Drosophila melanogaster: one gene and its partner. The gene in region 1 interacts genetically with each later gene. Each region holds a gene or a part of one and is shown in the gene's direction. Other genes may lie near its edges. The genes, in order: Pka-R1 and capt.

Region 1 (5,001 bases):
AATTTTGACTGGTTCCTGATCAATAAAAATGGCCGAAAAGTGGTGTAGGAAAGGGTGTGGAAGATGAAACCTCCGATTACATCGAGCACTTGGGCTTGGAGCTCTTGGGCTTAAGACACCTTGGCTTTGCCTTCGCCTTGCCGCATTCCATCTTCTTCCTGGGGCGGGGACATGCCTTCCGGGGTCGGGCGCCCTTGGGCTTCGGTTTGCCGCAACTGCGACGTTGCTTCGAGGTTTTCGCCCGTGGTTTGGGGCAACTCTTCCGCACCCTGGGCTTGGAACACTTGTTCTCCTTTCTTGGAGTGCAGCTATTGGAGCCACCGGCACCGAAGAAAGTGTCTGCGCAGCCACTTATTTCAGAGTGCATTCTGTGCTCGCCCTCACTAGAACGCTGAAGACTGCTCACACTGTTGGGCTCTACATGAAAAGTGTCCAATGGTTCCTGCGGAAGTGCATTACGATTGCATACATGTGCATTTCGTTTGTATTCGACACCTAACTTACCGCAGAATACTGGCATCGATGACGGAATGACATTTCGTTCCATCGGGTTTCAGCAGCCCGTCTTATCTCGTTATTCGAGTAATATTCTCCGTAGCGCTTCTTAAAGTCCCTCAGAAAATTAACAAAGCCAGACGATGAGGCGTATTCGTCCTCTGCCCTATTGATATCTTCTTCAATGTCGGAGGCGTCGGAATTAACATATTCAATTGATTTTTTATAGGTTTTCACTGATTTTGTTACTGCCACCTCCGGCTTGCTATCCTTTTGTTTCAGATTACTCATTTTGCAACCAATTCTTGCTCGACAGAAATTTTCACAAACAAATTTGTTACTCAGAATTATACAAAAAAAAATTATATATGTATAAAAAACTGTACTCAATTTTATCGAAATATTTTAGTTGTTCCTCGTTCAAAGGTAGTGTACTAACTGTTTGTATGCTGGCTTCAGCGTGGAGACCTGGAAATTGGATTTGAATGAAGGCTCAATTCTACTATGATCAAGAAAAAGTTCCTTTTTTCAAACCAAGTTGGCTGTTTTCAAAGTACATTTCGCAGATCGGCGCCATATTTCCATGGTTATTTTTGTATACTATATTCGTTCAAGATATTGTAGGAGAAAATGTTTAATGTTTCTTGATCAGTATCAGTCGAGCTGGCCATATTCGTCCGTCCGTGTGTCTTGAAAAAGGTTTTAATATTCTGTTTGCAATCCGACTAGCTGAGTAACGCGTATCTGATATTCACGAAATAGAATAGCGTACTTCCTTGTTTTCAATGAAATGAAATGAACAAATATTTTACAAAAGCAATACTAAATGTTATATTATAATCTGAACAAAATATGTAAGAAATACCAGAAATGTCGTTGGTGAGGGAAGGTGTTTAAATTATCCTGTGCGACTACGTTCCTTTCCGGGGTTTCAACCACTTGGTAAGCAACAAGCGGCATTTTGCTGGTTAATGCTGCCGCTTAAACGAAAATCAATACAACTTGCGGTCTATTTTCGAGCGGATTGTTAAAAAAAAAACCCATCCATAGGTGGATTTCCCAGCACGGATGCTTTATTTTCGGCTTCCTGCTTCGGAGAACTGTATTCCCTCTGTTCATTGTGAAGCTTTAAAGTTTATTTTGTGAGACAGGCTGCAGCAAAAGCTTGCAATGCTGCAATGTAAATAGAGCAGCGCACCTGTGGAGGTCCTTTCCACATCGTCCTGTTCCCCCTCTCACTTGCCAAGCGACTTTCCTTACCCCTTTTTCTCCCAACTTTGATTTTGAGTACGCCTGTGTGTGTGCGCCGGACTCTCTGGGGCAAGTTGCCTGTTGAATGCCGGACCCGCTGTCAGTTGGATTAGCATCCTGACGCCGTGCAGAAGCATCCTGCTTCCACCTAGTTCACTCCGTTCGTTTGCTTTTTATTTGTTTGCCTCCGCGCGCCATGGGCAACCAGTTGAGTGTGAACAGCATCCAGGATGCGGTCATCGATCGCTTCCGCTCGGTGGCTTTGACCACCGATGCCAACGGCGCCATGCGCATCCGTTCGTTTTCGGAGGGCGTGGTGGCCACCACCCACCATCATCATCAGCATCAGCAGAATCAGCAGCAGAGTCCCCATTGCAGTGGACGCGGCGGACGCATCCTGCGCGAAAGTAGCATCGATGGCGGGGTGGCCATGTTCGATGCTCTGCTCCGCGATGATCACGAACATCGGCTGAGCTTGGATGCAGTGCATCGCATGCGGCATGTTCGCACCTCCTGCACCACAATTCCCGAGGAGGATGCCGTCAGCGATCGCAGCCTGCAGATTCATCTCTCCACTCTGGCCCGCGAACGTGAACAGGAACTTGAGCTTGAGCGCCAGCGGGAACGCGAAGTAAGTTGGAAAGTCGGAAAAGTTTCCAATTTCCGGAAAACAGTAGGAAATCACTAGGAATTTGTGCTGAAAAGCTTTTGGCGGAAAAAAGATTTAAAGTGTGGGAGTGTGCGCATACTAGAAAGCTTTGAATCGTTTGAAATTGGTGTCTTGTTGATTCGATTTGTGACTACAAATCACGATGTCGTTAGTTCTAACACAAATAAAAACATGCAAAAAAATGTTTACCTTATTCCGCGAGCACCTAATACCCTACTTAGAATATAAAAATTTAATAAAATATGAAAAAGTTTGCTATGTTTTACGTTAAGGCCTTTTAATTCTTTCAAAATATCTTTCGTATCTGAAGAAAAAGAACGAACAGGAAGAAAATGTTCACATTTTATTTAAACATTATAAATTTATTTTTTGCAAAAAGGTAAATGGAAAGGGGTTAATTTTTGGGATACAGTAGAATATAGTAACCTAAACTATATACTAATTTAAAGAAAGTGCATTTCATAATGCCCCACGAGCTGCTTTTTGCGACAAAATGTCGAGTTTGCACTTGAAACTCGAAGGGAATTCTAACGAAATCAAAGCGCTCCCTTCGCTTTCCCTTTAGCACTTCTGGCCCTTTTCTCCCGTAAAAGCTTTTCCCTTTGCCAGGACTTGCGTCACAAGTGCGAGTGTATGTGTGTGAGGTGGTGGGCGGGTGTGCGAAAAACTTTACTTTTTGGCCAGTCGTATTTGTATGTATATATTTGTGTATATATAGAAAGGTTGCCTTCGCTGGGCGTGTTGGTGAAGGTCATCCTGTCGTCGTCGAGATTGTGTTTGTGTCTGGCTGCTAGAGTTTGCTTTCGTCCTTTCGTTTGTCTCAGTCACTTTTTGGCCACCGTCAGTTGCCCATCGTTGTTCCCAATTTTAGTTTTTTCGCCAACTTAACTGCTCAATTTACTAGTTACCATTCACCTTTTGCGGTCGTTACTTTTCGACTTTCTTGCCTGATTGATGGCCACGCGAATTCCGCTGCTCCGATCATCGAATTGTCCGGTTTAACGGTCGTGTTAATGCCGCTTTTACGGCTGTCATCGCTCCGTCCGGCGCTGTTTACGCCGGCTTCTGATTAACAGCGGAATCGTGCCAAAAACTACGCCGGACACTTTGTCCCCAGTGTCCGCCATAAAGTACAGACAAACAACAATCAATTGTGTTGGCCAAACGAGGTTGGAAAAGTGCCAAAGCGGAAGTGACAGGAACTCGACCAGCGAAATGGTGGGTAAAATTCGAAGTGTTAAATACGGTTAACTTGGTAAATATTTCGGAAAGAATTGGTTTCAATAGCGTTTTTATAGTGAGGAAGAGAAAGGGTCCCATTGCATTAACGCTTAAGAATCCTTAATCTTTAACATTCAAGTATTCATTCTTCTTCCGTTCCTTCATATTTCTATATTATCCCATTGAAAGGTATACAATTCTCATTTTTAGATATTTATTAGAACTCAAAGTTGTTAATAGTAATATTACTTTCCGATTATCGAATTGCCATCAAGGTATAACTGGATACATTTTTCTTCCAAGCTATATAAATAGTCTCCTTGAGGAAAAACAAATTGACAACATTTTTTTTTAATGAAAATCAACAATTTTAAATGAAATCAACACTCGTATTCTATCCAATCTGTTTGTTTCCTTCCAGAACGCAAAGCATTTAACATACAATTCCAATGAAAAATTTCCCCGAAATATGGCCTCGAATTATGCTCTGTTTACTTGATTAAATTGTTATTTTACTACCTTTTATTTCCTTTTTATGCACTCGCATCGCATTAAAACGATTTCTGTGATATTTTTAAGTGGGTCCGATGAAAGCAATTTATGAGCTCAAAGAAGCTGGGGTCGGAAAAATCGAATTTTTGAAATTTGAAAGCTGGAATCGTTTGCCCATTTTTTGCCCATGTTTGCCCACCAATTAGTTTTTTTTGCCCACGTCCAGTTTTTGAGATATGAATTTTCGAAAAAGTTCGAAAATTTTCGAAAATCAAAAATTTCGCTTTTTTCAAAATTTTTTTTTTTAAATCGCAATAACATCGTTTGCCCACGTTTGCCCACCCTTTAGAATTTTGAAAAAATTTATACTTTAGAAAATATAAGGCTTTTAAGTTTACCTCGGTCTAATCAGAGAGTAAATCGTTTGCCCATCTCTTAAAACCAAATATTATCAACAAAAAAGGTTTGCCCAACCATTATTATTAGTTTTTATCGTTTGCCCACCCTTTAAAAAACCTTTAACAAAAATTTTTTTTCGATTGCCCACATTTAAAATACACCCAATTTCGTTAGCCCACCTCTTTAAAATAAAAATTTCCAATAAAAAACGTTTGCCCACCATTTAAAAATAAATAATTTCGATTGCCCTGCGCTCTTTAAAACTAAATAATTTCGTTTGCCCATCCTTTAAAATTCATTTTTAACGTTTGCCCACCCTTTAAAAATAAATTATTTCGTTTGCCCACCCTTTAAAATTTGTTTTTTTCGTTTGCCCACTCTTAAAACTAAATAATTTCGATTGCCCACCTTTTAAAACTAAATAATTTCGTTTGCCCATCCTTTAAAATTCATTTTTAACGTTTGCCCACCCT
Region 2 (7,076 bases), on another chromosome or scaffold:
ACCCACATAAGGGTTAACTCGCTTGACTATTTCCACGAATGTACGCCTGGTCCCACCAAAGGCCACGCCAAGTTATTATTTTCGCCATTTCGCCGGTGTTCGCTACGCAGCTTCTCGTCAGTTCTAATTGGAATACAACTGCAGATCCTTGCAAATTCATCAGCAGCAAAAGAAGGTGAGTAACGCCTGATTGTTGCTAAAAACGTTCATTTAAACGGGGCTTTGCTATTATTCGCAAATTCTCTTCTCCCGTTCGCCGGCTGAAAGTGTCTGCGGAATTAACGGTTATTGGTGAGGGGTGGGTGGTGCTGTCACGAATTTGAGCGTGTGTGTGTGATGCAGGCTGTGGGTGTTTGTACACACACAACAACAACAACAGCGAAGAGAGCCAAAAAGACAAGAGACAGCTGTGTGATGGCTATTTTTGTGTGATTCATGTTGCTTGTAAAATTAAATCTACATGGTGTATTTTTAACGATGATTTCATATCCGATTCCATGGCATAAAGACACAACTAATTCATTGCCAGCAAGTGTATGCAAATTAACCCTTAGCAGCTCCCATTGCGATTGTTAACCCCCGATAAAAAAAAGTAACTACTCAGCTGTTGTGGCCATTTTTTGTTTTTGTTTCGCTGACTCACAGACACATAGTTGATATGCATATGTATGTATGCATGTATGTAGTTTACGCAAGAGCAAACACGTTTGCTTGTATTCGTGCGCGAATGAGTCAAAAAGTTGGCCAAAACGCTTTTATCAGCGAATCGCGATTGAAAATCGGCAGATATTACCACTCACTCGATTTCGGTGGAAGAAAATAACACCTCGCCTTATAAGGTGGGCGATTTTTCTTCTACCATTACGAACACCCCCCACCCCTGGTAATTCGAGCTCACTCACACTCTCGCAGCGGGAATAACGGTTCCTCAGCTGCAGACATTTAATCTTGGTTTCTAGTTTTTCTTCCCCATTTCTTCTTTGCTTTCTGCACGCAACAAACGCATCTGCCGCAGAAAACGCATCAAGACTGCAAGGAGAACTAGTATCGCCAGGCGAAAGTTGAATCTCGGCTTACTTGTCCTCGGCGGCTTAGCCCCTCCCTCCAATCCAACGGCTACTGATGCATTTCCCACTCTAATTGCCAGCCATTTGTTTAAAGCTACTTAAAAACAAAAACAACGTTGCCGGTGCAATAAACCCATTGCACTAAGGCCAAAACAAAAACTGGCAAGCAAACGATATGGGAGTTTCAGTTACGTCGACGTTTTTATACTCTTCTGCGGCAGATTACTTCACAAAAAGCTGAACATTTTAAAACTGTTTTTATAGCCGGCTAAGATATGATCATTGCATCTCTCTACTCTCTATGGCTTACAAACGTTATGGTAATGCTCAAAATGGAATCATAGTTTCATTACCGATCATTCCTGGAAACTTTCCAAATAGTAAAGATAACTCGGTGTTGTCACAACTAATTGATAGGCGAACCCTGCCTTACAGGGCTGATAAAACTATGGGATCGCCGTGGTTTTCCCTCACTTAAGTCGCGCCACCCGTGGCGAGAAGGGTATCACGAAATCACAGTGGTGTCTGCGCAACTCTCTCGGAGAGTTTTCCATTTTCCGCCTGGACCGTAAGCTTTCTCTGCTGCAAAAGTGCAAGACATCGCCGGAGCTTGCACAAAATCCTGCATGTCAGGCCAAAAGCGGTTATTAATGAAACACATTTCATTGCCAGTCGGTGGCTGGCCCCAAATGGTCAAAAGCAGCGCGGAGTAGCCCAACAAGGCGGCGAAACTCAGCAGTTAACAGCGCGGAGCTCTCCTAACAGAGTCCTGTTGAGACCTTCGAGTTCGAGTTCGAAATCGAATCGAATCCCCGAGTGCGTGGGCGTGCGCTTCGTTTAGGGTGTGTTCTGTTCTCCGTGTGTAATCGCATTTGTGTGCCATTTGGTTCTGTGCTTGGTCGGCAGTCACTTGACCCAGTTGAAGGCGCGGACAACTCGGAGGACCTTATTAATGTGCCACTAAATTTGGGCCATACACTGAATATATGTACACAGTGAGCAAGGAGTGGCCACGTTCGTTGGAAACCCGTTGAGTGTCTTATATGGCTGCTGCTGTTACTGCTTCTACTGATTCGATTTGGTTTGGTGTGCCGTCAGTGTTGTGACCGCCGCTTGAGCTTCACGGGCATCCGCAGTCGAGCCACGGAACTTACATAATGTGCTTGATTCGTACCTAGAGTGTTGAGCACCGGAAAAGCCCAGCCACACGCCTGCAAAATGTTCTCCTGCTGCCGATCGAACCCCAAGGCGGGCAAGAAGGAGAAGGAAAAGCGGAACGCAGAGGAGGAGAACGGCGGACAGGTCACCGAAAAGGAGGAACCCCAGCTGAACGGCAAGCCAGGAACTCCGAAGGAGGAGCCAGAGCCTGTGAAACCAGAAAAGGAGCTCTTGGAAGCGCATAATCCCGAGGATGTGCCCACAAGCACCCAGCCAAACACTGGTACTGACGCAACGCTAAGTATTTACCCACCACCCCATCTATTCGCGTTCTCCGGCCTTCGAGCTCAACAGCTGTCTCGGCTTTTGTCTGCTCTCCGGAACGAAGGCCCCTATCCGGCCGGCTCTCACTCACTGCAATGCCACTGCAGCTGACCACCACTTCTGATCTTTCCTTTCATTTCAATCCGGGCACTTCAAGCTGCCTTGAGTGTCCTTTTCTATTTACTTATGAGTTGTCTTCACTGTGCTTTCTCTTCGGTTTATTTCTGTGAATTTTATACATATGAATATCAAGGAATTGCGCCGATTCTCAGTTGATTAATGAGGAATAGCTAATGACATTGCATACACACTTTTTGTTGAGCACTTAGATCGTGCTCATCCATCAAAGTGAACGTATAGTATATAGTAGTGACGAATATAGAAACTAAAATGAAGGTCAATAATTTAGACAGAAAATTCAAGATTCTATAGATTCTATAATAATAAGGTGAGCAGTAAAAACTAACTACTCAATCTGCCAGTGACCATGGTAAATGCTTTTAAATGCGATAAATAAACATAATGAAGACAGGAAGCGAGGTGAGCAGAGAGTGAAGTGAAGTAATCAACTTAAGTATCGGCGCTTTCCTTGATGATCGTCTTGGTAATTCGTCGCTTCATGTAGAGTAATCTTAAGCAACACTTCCACAGCCCAACCAACTCAGGCTGAAGCGGCTAGCAAATCATCACCAGCAAATCCAGCACTAGCACCCAAAGAACCGGAGCCACTGGCCCGCTCAACGCACTCTTCCACATCCACGGCACCACCTGCTTCGATGACCAGCGGCGACGCGGAGGAGGCGGACGAAGTGGTGGTGGTGGCGACGGTCACGCCGACCACACCGCCTCCTCAGCCGCCGCCCACCAAGAGCTGCCTGTCCAGGCACAACTCAACGCATCAGTCGATCAAGAAGAAGGTGAATATCAGCAACCGGGCGGAGATCATCGAGCCGGATCCACTGCCACTGCTCCTGCTGGCCAGCCAGAATCAGGGCTCCTTGCTGGACGACGACGAGGTGTTCTCCGACTCACTGCCGCCACCCAAGCGGGAGAGCATGTGTGCACCCTACATCGAGGGGGATGTCGTCTCGGAAACACTCTTCTTTGCCCACGGATTACCCTCGTGGTTCGACGACGAGCGCCTGAACGACATGTATGCTTACCCAAGATCCTGTTTTGGTTTCACGCCCAAAATATCCATATAGTTAAGCTGAAACCAGAACAGGTCGACCCCTGCATTCCCAGCCCCGCTTTGAATTGCCAGTACATCGTCTCCTCTGTCCTCGTTCCATGTCCAGCGGCTGCATCGAGCCCCCGGTCACGCCGGTGGGACGCGACGAGCTGGAGCTGAAGCGCCAGCGTCTCTACACGGAGCTCCTGCGGGCCGCCCATGCGGCTGTGGAGCATAGCGTGGCCGTGCGGGGTATGCGAGCTTCGATAGAGTCCGATTCTTTTGCTTTTTTTTTTCGATCTCAGCAGTTATTTAAGCGGATGCTTGACTTTCTGTGTTCTTTATGTGTTCGTTTTCGCTGTGAAGAAGTTTTGAGAGTCTAGCGATTCACGTAACTTCCTGATGGCCAATAAGTTCGCAAGTCAAGTGCTTCCGTTTAAAGGTTCAACTTAGTTCTTCTCTCTTATGATTTTTCGTTGTCTTGTGCCGTTTTTGCATGTGGATTATTACTTTCACTCGTTGGGATTAGCTCTTTTTGCATATTGAACTTTATAAGTATTAAGCGCACCAGTTCATCATCATACACAAGCTCGTGATGAGGTATTCCTCTCGAGACGCCTTAGTTTATATCGCCTTTTTTGTCAGGTATTGTGAGTGCACGATTCACTGGGGTTTATCACGCTGAAGCATCATCTCACTCAAGTTATTTTCTTTATAAAACTCAGTGTTATTTGAATAATTCGAGATAATTGCCAAAACGAACTAAACATTTGCCGTTCTCCTCCGCGTCATTTTGGTTCAGATAACGAGCCGGAAGCCAAGCCCTCGGCCGCCGTCGACCACTTGGAGAGCATTTGCGAGCGACTGGAGACCCTCGTCGACCGATTGGAACGGACTCTAACAGCGCCACAGCCGATAGAACTGCCCACGCCCACACTCCCGCCTCCGCCAGCCGAAGAAGAAGAAGCTCTTCCAGTTTTTGAAAAAGCAGAGACACCACCTCCACCTCCCTCGCCGCCCAGCAGCAACATGAGTGTCGCCGGATTCGAGGACATTGTGGCGGGTCCGCTGAGCCAATACCTAACTCTCTCCGCCAAAATTGGCGGCGATGTGGCGCAGCATGCGGAGCTCGTGAAGAGCGCCTTTGGGTGAGTCAGTCTGGATGAGTCATCTATGGTAAAAGTGTAATAATGCCATCGTTCAATTCCGCAACAGCTCCCAACTGCAGTACGTGACGCTGGCCACCCAGATCGCCCAGCCGGCGCAGCCCAAGCAGGCGGAGCTTCTGAAGCCGACCTCGACGCAGATCAGCGCCATCCAGGACTTCCGCGAGAAGCACCGCTCCTCGCCCTTCTTCAACCACCTGTCGGCCATCAGCGAAAGCATTCCCGCCTTGGGCTGGGTGTGCGTGGAGAAGACCCCGGGTCCCTATGTCAAGGAGATGAACGACGCCGGCCAGTTCTACACGAACCGCGTGCTCAAGGAGTGGAAGGAGAAGGATGTTACGCATGTGGAGTGGGCCCGCGCCTGGGTGCAGACGCTCACCGAACTGCAGGCCTACATCCGGCAGTACCACACCACGGGCTTGGTGTGGTCCGGCAAGGGAGCGGCCCCCGCCGGAGGTGCCCCGCCACCACCGCCACCCGGTGGTCTGCCCCCACCGCCGCCCATGCTGGATCTGAGTGCCCTCAAGCTGGATAGCGCCGGAGATGATCGCAGCGCCCTCTTCGCCCAGATCAACCAGGGTGCCGACATCACCAAGGGTGAGCAGCAACTGCAAAAATGGTTAAGTGCTCCTATAGTAAGAAAATGTATCTTTTGATAAACCCGCAGGCTTGAAGAAGGTCACTGGCGACATGCAGACCCATAAAAATCCATCTCTACGCACTGGACCGGCTCCGTTCAAATCGCCAGCCCAGTCGGGCGGCAGCAAGGCCGTTGCTGCTCCATCAGCTGCGCAAGCCAAGGCGCCCGTTTTCGAGCGCGACGGAAAGAAGTGGATCATCGAGTACCAGAAGAACAACACCGGGCTGTTGGTGGAGAACGCCGAGATGAACAACGTGGTGTATGTGTTCAAGTGTGAGGGATCCACTCTGACCGTCAAGGGCAAGGTGAACAACATCGTCTTCGACTCCTGCAAGAAGTGCTCCCTGCTGTTCGATTCCGTGGTGGCCTCCGTGGAGTTCGTCAACTGCCAGAGCGTGCAGATGCAGGTGCTCGGCTCGGTGCCGACGGTATCGATCGACAAGACCGACGGCTGCCAGATGTATCTGTCCAAGGACTCGCTGGGCGTGGAGATCGTCAACTCCAAGTCCTCGGAGATGAACATCCTGTTGCCCGACGACAGCGGCGATTATGTGAGTTCAAAAATTTGTCTCTTGTCTTCAGTCATTTATTTATTTTTTTTGTGATTTCCAGACCGAGTTGGCTTTACCGGAGCAGTATAAGACCACGATTGCCGGCAAGACCCTGAAGACTGTGTGCGTGGACAGCCTCGGCTAAGGCGGTTCTCCTCCTCGGGGATCCTGTTCGTTGCTTTTCCAACTGTCGTCAGCAGCAATCATAATTGTATTTAATCTAAGTGCAAAGTTTTCGTAATTCAAAGATTTTTAGATCAAACATTTCGTATTGATGATGTTGCCAAACATTGCTGTCCTGGCTCGTGGAAAGTATTTATATAATTTATTTCGATGGAAAAGCGATGGCCACAAACCGAACCCAATGTATTTATATCGAGAGTGTGTTGCAATGAGAAACTGAGCATGAAATCCGAACTTTTGAGCAGACTCTTTACTCGATCATCAGATGTAACTCCTTTTTATATTCTATTTAATAAAATTTAAACTTTTTTATCAGATTATTGTGGGAGTATCACAATTTCTGGGGGTGTTTTTCCTTACTTTGTAATCGTTTATTATTGCATTAAATCTAAAACTTCACTTTCGTCCGTTCGTACTTTTATTCTCTATTTAAACAAGGTGCTAGCATTTTTTATCAGATAAAAAAATGAGAACTTGATTTATTGCTACGTACATTTACAATTTCTTTAATGAAGCCGAGCTCAGAATGCAGGGGTCAAGGGTTGGATTGGAGGGGAATGGCTGGTGGCTAATACTAGGACCCTAGATCTTCTTGTACTCGATGCGCTCCACTTTGACCTCGTCGCCGATCAGTTGGTACACGTACGTGACCACCGTGGTGCTCTGAATGTCCATCAGCACGAACGAAGGCACCACATTGGTGTCCAGTGGGTTGAAGGCACCCGTGGCCGATCCCGGATTGATGTAGAATTTGTTGCCGTGCTCGTAGGCCTCGAACTTGTACGTGTGCCCCGTGATCAGGATGTCCACGTCCAG

What was found.
Region 2: of Pka-R1 (region 1) and capt, changing one enhances a phenotype caused by changing the other (phenotypic enhancement), as found in Drosophila melanogaster (one study listed by BioGRID).

The regions. Positions count from the first base shown.
Region 1 is NT_037436.4:20,817,093-20,822,093, forward strand, and holds the start of Pka-R1 (protein kinase, cAMP-dependent, regulatory subunit type 1), read left to right. Parts: upstream 1-1,872; 5' UTR 1,873-1,942; coding exon 1,943-2,377; intron 2,378-3,238; exon of another isoform or gene 3,239-3,631; coding exon of another isoform or gene 3,632-3,634; intron 3,635-5,001. Other genes in the region: Mst77F (Male-specific transcript 77F), read right to left, coding at 77-442, 505-786.
Region 2 is NT_033779.5:1,151,178-1,158,253, reverse strand, and holds capt (capulet), read left to right. Parts: upstream 1-1,942; 5' UTR 1,943-2,285; coding exon 2,286-2,508; intron 2,509-3,200; coding exon 3,201-3,702; intron 3,703-3,847; coding exon 3,848-3,972; intron 3,973-4,522; coding exon 4,523-4,868; intron 4,869-4,935; coding exon 4,936-5,483; intron 5,484-5,553; coding exon 5,554-6,077; intron 6,078-6,138; coding exon 6,139-6,222; 3' UTR 6,223-6,576; downstream 6,577-7,076. Other genes in the region: Vps29 (vacuolar protein sorting 29), read right to left, coding at 6,843-7,076.